Coturnix japonica: one gene and its partner. The protein of the gene in region 1 purifies or fractionates together with the protein of each later gene. This does not show direct contact. Links are inferred from orthologs where the notes say so. Each region holds a gene or a part of one and is shown on either strand. Other genes may lie near its edges.

Region 1 (3,821 bases):
AATTTGAGTCCTGCTCCTAGTGCCTAATTGCCTCCTCATAGTGAACTAAAGAAGTTGGAAGAAAACACTGACTTTGAATGTGTTCTTTCAATCAGGAAGGTGGATATAGAGTTAGAGGTCAAAAATGTGAGTTTAAGGCCACATATTAGGTGAGAAAGAGGTGGACTAAGCCATGTGAATGCTAGGGAGTCCTTAGAGCTCAGAACTACTTGCTCTTATGGCATTTCTGCAGTGGCATTCTGGATATACTGTGTTCCCCTACTCTTCTTTACTCTTTCTATAATCTAATGACTTCCTGGTTATCAAATACATGTGTTGTAGCTGCTGACATATACATCTATTGTGTGTATGCCATGTGAAAAGCATAGAACTGTTAGTTCGCAAGTGATAGTTCAGGTAATATCATTATCTGTGTCAGTTGAATGCATTCTCTGAATGATACTTCTAAACAGTATTGTGTCTTTTTCTGACAGCATACCAGGGTACAATCTGAATATTACACTTTAATGGTGTTTATTTACTTCAGGTATTTGTGGGATAAGCAGAGGACACCTGTTCAATTAGTGGTCTATTAGTGGTTCAATTCTGGTCTACGGAATAGGCTCTGCTGAAGTTGGGATGGGACTCATGCAGTACACTCAGTCATTTCCTGTATTTTTCATGCAAGATTTCCCTGGTACTTAAGACATAACTTTCAACCATCTGAGGAACTCAGCACATAGGTTCTTATTTACTGAAGATTTCTTTAGGAAAAAAAAGTTCCTAGTAAAACTAATAATGGAGAGCTCCCTCTGGAGCTTGTCTTGTTGCATTCTTGAATTGAATTTGAGTTGAACTTCTCTGAGATTACTATTTTTTTTCCCTAAAGTTTCTGAGGAAGAACCCTCAAATAGTAAGTGACATGACTGAATGTTGCAGATTAGGCCTTTCTTAATGGGGGATGTGAGAAGCTAGTATCTAGTGAATGTCTAGATTGGGACTAAGGAGACCTTTAATCAAAAGTCGGTTTAAATTTGAAAGAGTATCAGAGGCATAGGCTGAAATATATAGATCTGTATGAAATATCTGAATCTATTTGGACTTGAGATCTGTTCCGAAAAATATATCGTTCAGTTATCAGTCTCTCAGTGACTTTGAAGCATAGCAAAACACTTGTGCTCCCTCTACTGGTTATGTAGTAGCTGTAATAATTCAGTTAAAAATTATAAAGCTGCTCAGTTTCTAGTTTCACTAAAGTAACTTCAAAGATACAGTTGGGAAACTGAGAAGGGTGGTGTTGTACTTTTCTACCCCTTGGTAAGTACACTTCAGCCTATTCTCTGAATACATTGTTTTGTGGGCTAATTCTTCCAGTGAAGTTAATTTGCTGTGCTGGTCTGTTTAACTCCCGCCAACACCAAATATAGCTTTCAAAAGTTTGATAATGCACCAGTGGAAGAGATACATAGACTTCGTTATCAGCAAGGGATTTTTCTGATTGTTCTTAATTAAACAAACAAAATCTTAGGTCTATTTTAGAAGAAGCAGGATGTCCCTCATCTCCCTTTCCTTCTAGATTTATGCTTGGAATTAGATTTGAGGAAGATTTTAATTTAAGCATAAAACTTGCAGTAAGGCTATGGGGATTGATGTGTATTTACTACTGGCTGTGAAAGTCTGACACTTCACTATTACTTGGGTTTACTATGAACTGTCTTAAGCTGGGTCATTTTAACCTACAATTAAGGGAGAAGTGAGTGACATTTATCACTGTGGAAACTTCTAAGATTATAAAAACATCTCCCTCTGTCTGGACATGAGATCTTGTTGATGTGCAGGTGTCTATGCCTGAACTCTCTGCAGGAGAGAATAGGTTTGTGAGTTGGGCAGGTTGTTGCATTCTGCTTGTGATCACAAGTTTTCTTCTTTTTGTAGGGATGTAATGTAACAAGCCTAGAAGTCAGCATATCCACTGTCTGATTTGGCAGTACTACTTGAAGCATTGGTTATTTCATACAGTGAGAAGGTTATCAGTTTTTACTGTTAGGTATTATCTAGTTGGTTCAGTATTTAAAAAAACAGTTAATTCTAACCTAGGTATTGAGGTCTTCGGTGCCTGTGTAGCTAGTTGGATGTTACTGAATCTAAGGTTGCTGGGTTTCTTTTGTTTGTTTTTGGTGTGGGGTTGTTTTGTTTTTAGTTCTGGATATATTTGTTCTGGAGTACATATGCTATTTTGGTTGTGTGCAGCCAATGTTGAGAACTGGCTTTCATGTATTTGATCATGTGTTTGATACTTGAATAGACTTATTCTCAAGATGGAGTTACTGAGACTGTCTGGACAAGTGGATCTTCAAAAAGTGGACCTCTTCAGGCATTTACTAGGGAGTCTACAAGAGTGTCAAGAAGAACACCAAGGAAAAGGGTGATGAGAGGCTTATTATAATAGAAAAGCATTTTTTTTCACTATTAGGGTCCCAGTGGCTATTTTATTCAACTGTTTTCTTTTGTTTTAAACAAACAGGTGGAAGCTACAGTACAGTTGCCTGTAGATGATGCTGTTATGTCAGAGAGTACTCCCATAGATGAAACTATATTGACTGCAAGCAACGAGAGCCTAGTAAATATGCTTAGTAAATATATTTAATGAATAATACAAGTAGTATTTTTTCTGTAATATACCTTTTATAATATGTCTTTACTGACAGAATTGTTTTAAACAGGCTGTTTTTAAAGAAAGTAGGACTTCTTTTATTCAGTAGTCTTGAAACCATATGTTCAATAGCATATTAGCGCCTAGTGGTGCTCACTTTGAGATGGGACTAGGTAGACACATGGTTTCATGTTTTTGGGGGGAGGGCTGAGAAGATCTGCTTCAAAAGCTTAGATCTCTTCTTAAATTAAGTACATATAGAATATCTGCTTTAGAGCTTTGCTTTTCTTGTGAACTAATTAGCTTCTATGTTTCTAAGTGGCTTAAAATAAACTATTTAGACTAAGCATTGTATTTCCTTTACTTATTTCAGAGTATCTGTTACATAACTTTCAGTGAATTACTAACATGCACATATTTGATGCAGATAAGGGTTATGTTGCTTAGTTTTGTCTCCCTTCCCCATTTTACTTTGTGTTTTGGTTAATTCTGAGTTTGAACAATTTTGAATCTCGGCAGGTTGGCAATAGGGTGCCTGGAAATTTCAAGCATGCAGCTCCTACATTGTCAATAAGTGAACCCACAGACATGCCCAGAAGAACACCAAAGAAACCACTGATGACAGCTGAAGTAAATTAAAACTTAGATTGTTATTGCTTACTTTCTTTGAAGAAGGTTCTTATGTGTATGGATTTATTCTGTAGTATAGAAGGGGTGGAGGGTCTTGTTGCCCAGGAGGCATGATCTTGTAACTAAACTAGCGTTGTCATATGACATCAAAAAGAGTATATATATATATGCATATTTTTATTTTATTTTATTTTATTTTTCTTATCCTTCCTTGTTTTTGTAAGGTGGAAATAATCCTCTTTTGGACTATTATTTCATCTTATGTTGTACAGAATGTACTTTTTTCTTTTAAACTACATGAATAGTTCAAAGAGTGGCATTATCTAGCTAAGTCAGCATATCCTGGGCGGGGAAATGCCTCAACTGAAGGACTGCAGTGGTAGGACTACTTGAAATCCAAAGTCAAAGTTTAGAAAGCAACTGTAGGTTTCTATTAGCTGTCAAGTAAGAAAACTGTTCTTATACTCTGTTAGCCTATTCAAGCTGTTGAGATTATTTGGATACATGTCTAAAAGCACTTGAGAGCATGTGATTGTAGTTGTTAATGTAGTACTGGATT
Region 2 (3,821 bases), on another chromosome or scaffold:
GTAGGAGTTTTGCTTTCTACATCCACCTAAAGGTTCAGTGATTGAGTCATTCTTTTTATGTCATTTTACTTACAGAGATCTTTTGAACTTGAGTTTCTCAAGGTCTGCTATGTTTTAGTTAGGATGACATGCTGGGCATCCCGTAAATTAATTGGTGTGACGTTTTAGTTCTATAAGATTTCTGTATTAGATTTTTTTTCTTTGATCATCCTGTTGAATTAGAGATGAAATTGACGGCCTGTTGAACAGTGGGATTTCTTCTGGGTCTGCTTCAGTATCCAGCTGCTCATAGATGCCTGCTGAACAGCATCAGTGACTGCTGGCAATCTGTCTAGAAGGAGGTGTGGGGAAGGGGACTGATGGATGAAGGTACTGATGTCCTGTGTATGAGAACAAGAAAATGACTGAACTGAGGTAGAAGATGGGTTGCTTTGTAGATGCTTGAAGGAGGTAGCTGGTATTTATGAACTGAATAGGAATACCAGTGTCAGCCTGTTGCCTTCAAAGTTTCTCACAAACAAGAAGTGGATTTTCCCATTCGGTTTTTCTAGATACGTAAGTTGTGTTGAAGACATGTCTGCTCTTTTCATGGGCTATGGCAGTGGAGGGACAATACTGGCACTCCAGCACAAACTGCAGAGCTTGTCTGTGTGCTGCTTCAGTGCATTAACATCTGTTTTGTATTAAATACACCTTTCAGTTGTATACCTTTCCCATTTTCTCACCTGTCTTAACCAGCCAGAAGCAATAAATAGTAGAGCAGAGAAAGCTACGTTTGTACCTCTTTCAGTGATGTGACTTGACACCTCACCCACTGCCAGAGAAGCTCATTCTCTCAACTGAGAAGTAGTGTATTGCTAGTGTGTGTGCTTAACTTCTTTCTTTTTCGTATTTATTCAGATAATGGAGATGAAATGGCTGCTGCTTGTGACCCTTCTAGCTCTTGGGACTCTTGCTGCCCAGGAGCATGATGTGGGTGACGATGATGGTGATGATGTCATTGATATTGAGGATGACTTGGATGATGGTGTTGAGGAAGTAGAAGACTCAAATCCTGAAAGCAGCACTCCTCCTCCAGCTCCAAAGGTTTGGCATAGTTGTTCTTTAACATTTAATTACTTCTTGTGTTTTGGCTACTGTCAGTCTGATTAGAGTTGACTTTACTTTGCTGAAACTTAATGTATAGTGATGCTGTTAGAGATCACTAGCAGGGAGTAGGGTTTGGAATTTAGCTTAGCTGCTTCCTTGCTATTCTCATCTGACCTGCATCTTCTTTCGCGAAGACTTCAGTGAATATTTGAAAACTGAGGTGTAGTTATCAGGCATTAATGTTAAAGTTTCTAGCTAGACAAAATCTTCAGTTCTTGTTGCAGAGGAGAGCACAGTGGCTCAGCATAAGCAGCAGTGTAAACATTTCTGTATTTATGCTGCCAGAATGCTCTAGGTGCTTTATGGTATGGATGTGGGATGTGAGCTGTATGTGCCTCTACTTCTTTAGAGGATGTGCCTTGAAAGGTTCATAAATGCCTCTCTTCTCCCCTAGGTTACTTACAAAGCACCAGTCCCAACTGGCGAGGTCTATTTTGTAGAGTCCTTTGATAAAGGAACTCTGGATGGGTGAGTATAACATTAGGGGGCAACTGAACAGATGAAATCAGAGTATTATGTGAAAGGGAATTCCTAGTGCCTGTTACTGAAAATCAACAGGCAACACGTGACAAGATCAACCAGTTTTTGCTTAGGTACTAGTAATAATGGGAAGAGAAGCCCATATTTTATGTATGCTTTAATCTTTCTCATCTGACTTTGTGTACTTGCTTCAGATTCTGAGGCAGTGAGTGATCCTACATAAAGCTGAGAACTTGGCAGGTTTGGGATAGAGCTCAGGATCGAGACACTTGGGGTTTAGTCACAGGACAACAAAGGCTATTTTAAGAGCAGGGGTTTTTGTGTGCATAATGAAAAAGTATGAGTTTCTTACTGTTGGATGCTTGTTTTCTAGATGGATCCTTTCCAAAGCCAAGAAAGATGATACAGATGATGAAATTGCTAAGTATGATGGTGAGTCCTACCCATATTTTGACTGGTAGTTGTTTCTGATGTCATTTTGTCTTATATAAAGAAGAGGTGCAAGTCTGTTCTTCTTGCTCCCTGAAATTGTGTTCACTGAAGAAAATGGGAGAATGTGTACATGCTTAACAATATAAAGTGTGATCCTGATTCAGATAAGATTCAAACAAAATTTCCACTTAAAGGTTTTAAAATAATTTTTAGTGAAGATGTTAAGCCCAGTAACTTGAAGGCACCCTGTATGAAGATGGTGATGACTTTCTTGTTTAGGATTGGGCTAAGACAAGATTGTATCAAATGGGTTTTGATAATACTTTGTTAATTTTCGTCTAGGTAAATGGGAAGTCCAAGACATGAAGGACAGTAAGCTTCCAGGAGACAAAGGGCTTGTGTTGGTAACACGAGCCAAACATCATGCGATTTCATCCAAGCTTTCAAAGCCTTTTGTATTTGATACCAAGCCCCTTATTATACAGTAAGTAAAAGATAACTTAGTGTTCTGTGAGGGGTGTGATGTGGTAGTAGGCTTGGGTTTATTTTGTAACTGAGCTTTTGTTGGCTGGGGGGTCTAGATGACACAAGATAGACTGTAACCTCTCATTATACAATTTGAGTAGGAGTAAAATAGCAATCTTGATTCCTCAAGTGGGAAGTTAGGAACACAGTGGCCCCCACTGCAGCCTGACAAAAAAAGTAGTCTATGAGTTGGTAATTAGTCTCTGGACTTGAATTTCTCATTCACTAGCACAGAAATCTGTTGCCTGTTCTGTTAATTGTAAAAGTCCATGTCCACTTCACCAAGAGCTTGTCTGTATGTTTCTCACTGTGTTTATTCAGTGAAGTGTCCAGTTTCAAAGGTGGAGTGAGCAGAGTGTTAAGGGTGCACTTGTTTCCGCCTTCCTTTGTTCTGGTGCATCTGTTGTGGAAGATGAACAACTTGCCTAATTCTGTTGGGCCATGAGTGATGTAGAGGAATCTGCTTGCATGCATGTTAGACTAGTAAGCAGGAAAAGAATCTTTCAGTGACAACAGTTGAATTGTGGGATATTACCTATGTTACCAGTTATAAACAGCCAGTGATCCAGTTCATATTTGTACAAGATAATGAAATGGTCACTTTACTTTGTGTTACTGTTTAGTTTTGGCTCAAAATGCGTGGCTAAAAATAAGTTGAAGTGGTCATTCACTTCAGCTGCTGGCATTGAGAGAGGTTTGAGCATGCTTAGCCTATTCCTGACCGACATGCTTTGCCTTTTTCAGACTCCTTGGCATCTCTAAATATACTATTGTATGCTTGCAACCCTAAGGGGAGATCTTCTAGGATCCAACTGCTCACTTCAGTCATCTTGCAAATTGAGTTGTCTGTCTGCTGTAATGGTTGTGTGGAAAATAATTTGTTCCCCTTAATCTCCATTGCAGTCTCTTACATACTTGAAAAACCTTTTCTTCCCTCTACTTCTGGATCATAATCTTCTAGACTAATGCTCAATTCTTTTAATCTTTTCTGTCAGGTTAAGTCTTTTAAATCCTTGCTTCTTTTCTCAGGCCCCCTTGAACATCTGCTTAGTCTCTAGAGCGCAGCATGTGTTTTTAATGTTCACTTTTGATTTGAAACAAACAAAACCAAAATAGTATTGCTCTGCAATTTTCAAGTATAAATTCATTCATGTATTATGAAGGTAAATGTTGCTTGTGTATAATGTGTTCTTCATTTCTCTGTCCAAATAAGGTATGAAGTAAATTTCCAAAAT

Evidence for each region.
Region 2: the proteins of TMPO (region 1) and CANX purify together in Homo sapiens (affinity purification with mass spectrometry; 3 studies listed by BioGRID and IntAct, with this or other methods). This does not show direct contact. The link is inferred for Coturnix japonica from reciprocal best matches to the Homo sapiens genes TMPO and CANX.

What each region holds. Positions count from the first base shown.
Region 1 is NC_029516.1:42,484,822-42,488,642, forward strand, and holds part of TMPO (thymopoietin), read left to right. Parts: intron 1-2,284; coding exon 2,285-2,404; intron 2,405-2,503; coding exon 2,504-2,599; intron 2,600-3,151; coding exon 3,152-3,262; intron 3,263-3,821. UniProt on the Homo sapiens protein: May help direct the assembly of the nuclear lamina and thereby help maintain the structural organization of the nuclear envelope. Possible receptor for attachment of lamin filaments to the inner nuclear membrane.
Region 2 is NC_029528.1:4,541,386-4,545,206, forward strand, and holds part of CANX (calnexin), read left to right. Parts: intron 1-900; 5' UTR 901-903; coding exon 904-1,086; intron 1,087-1,543; coding exon 1,544-1,617; intron 1,618-2,002; coding exon 2,003-2,061; intron 2,062-2,403; coding exon 2,404-2,545; intron 2,546-3,799; coding exon 3,800-3,821. UniProt on the Homo sapiens protein: Calcium-binding protein that interacts with newly synthesized monoglucosylated glycoproteins in the endoplasmic reticulum. It may act in assisting protein assembly and/or in the retention within the ER of unassembled protein subunits.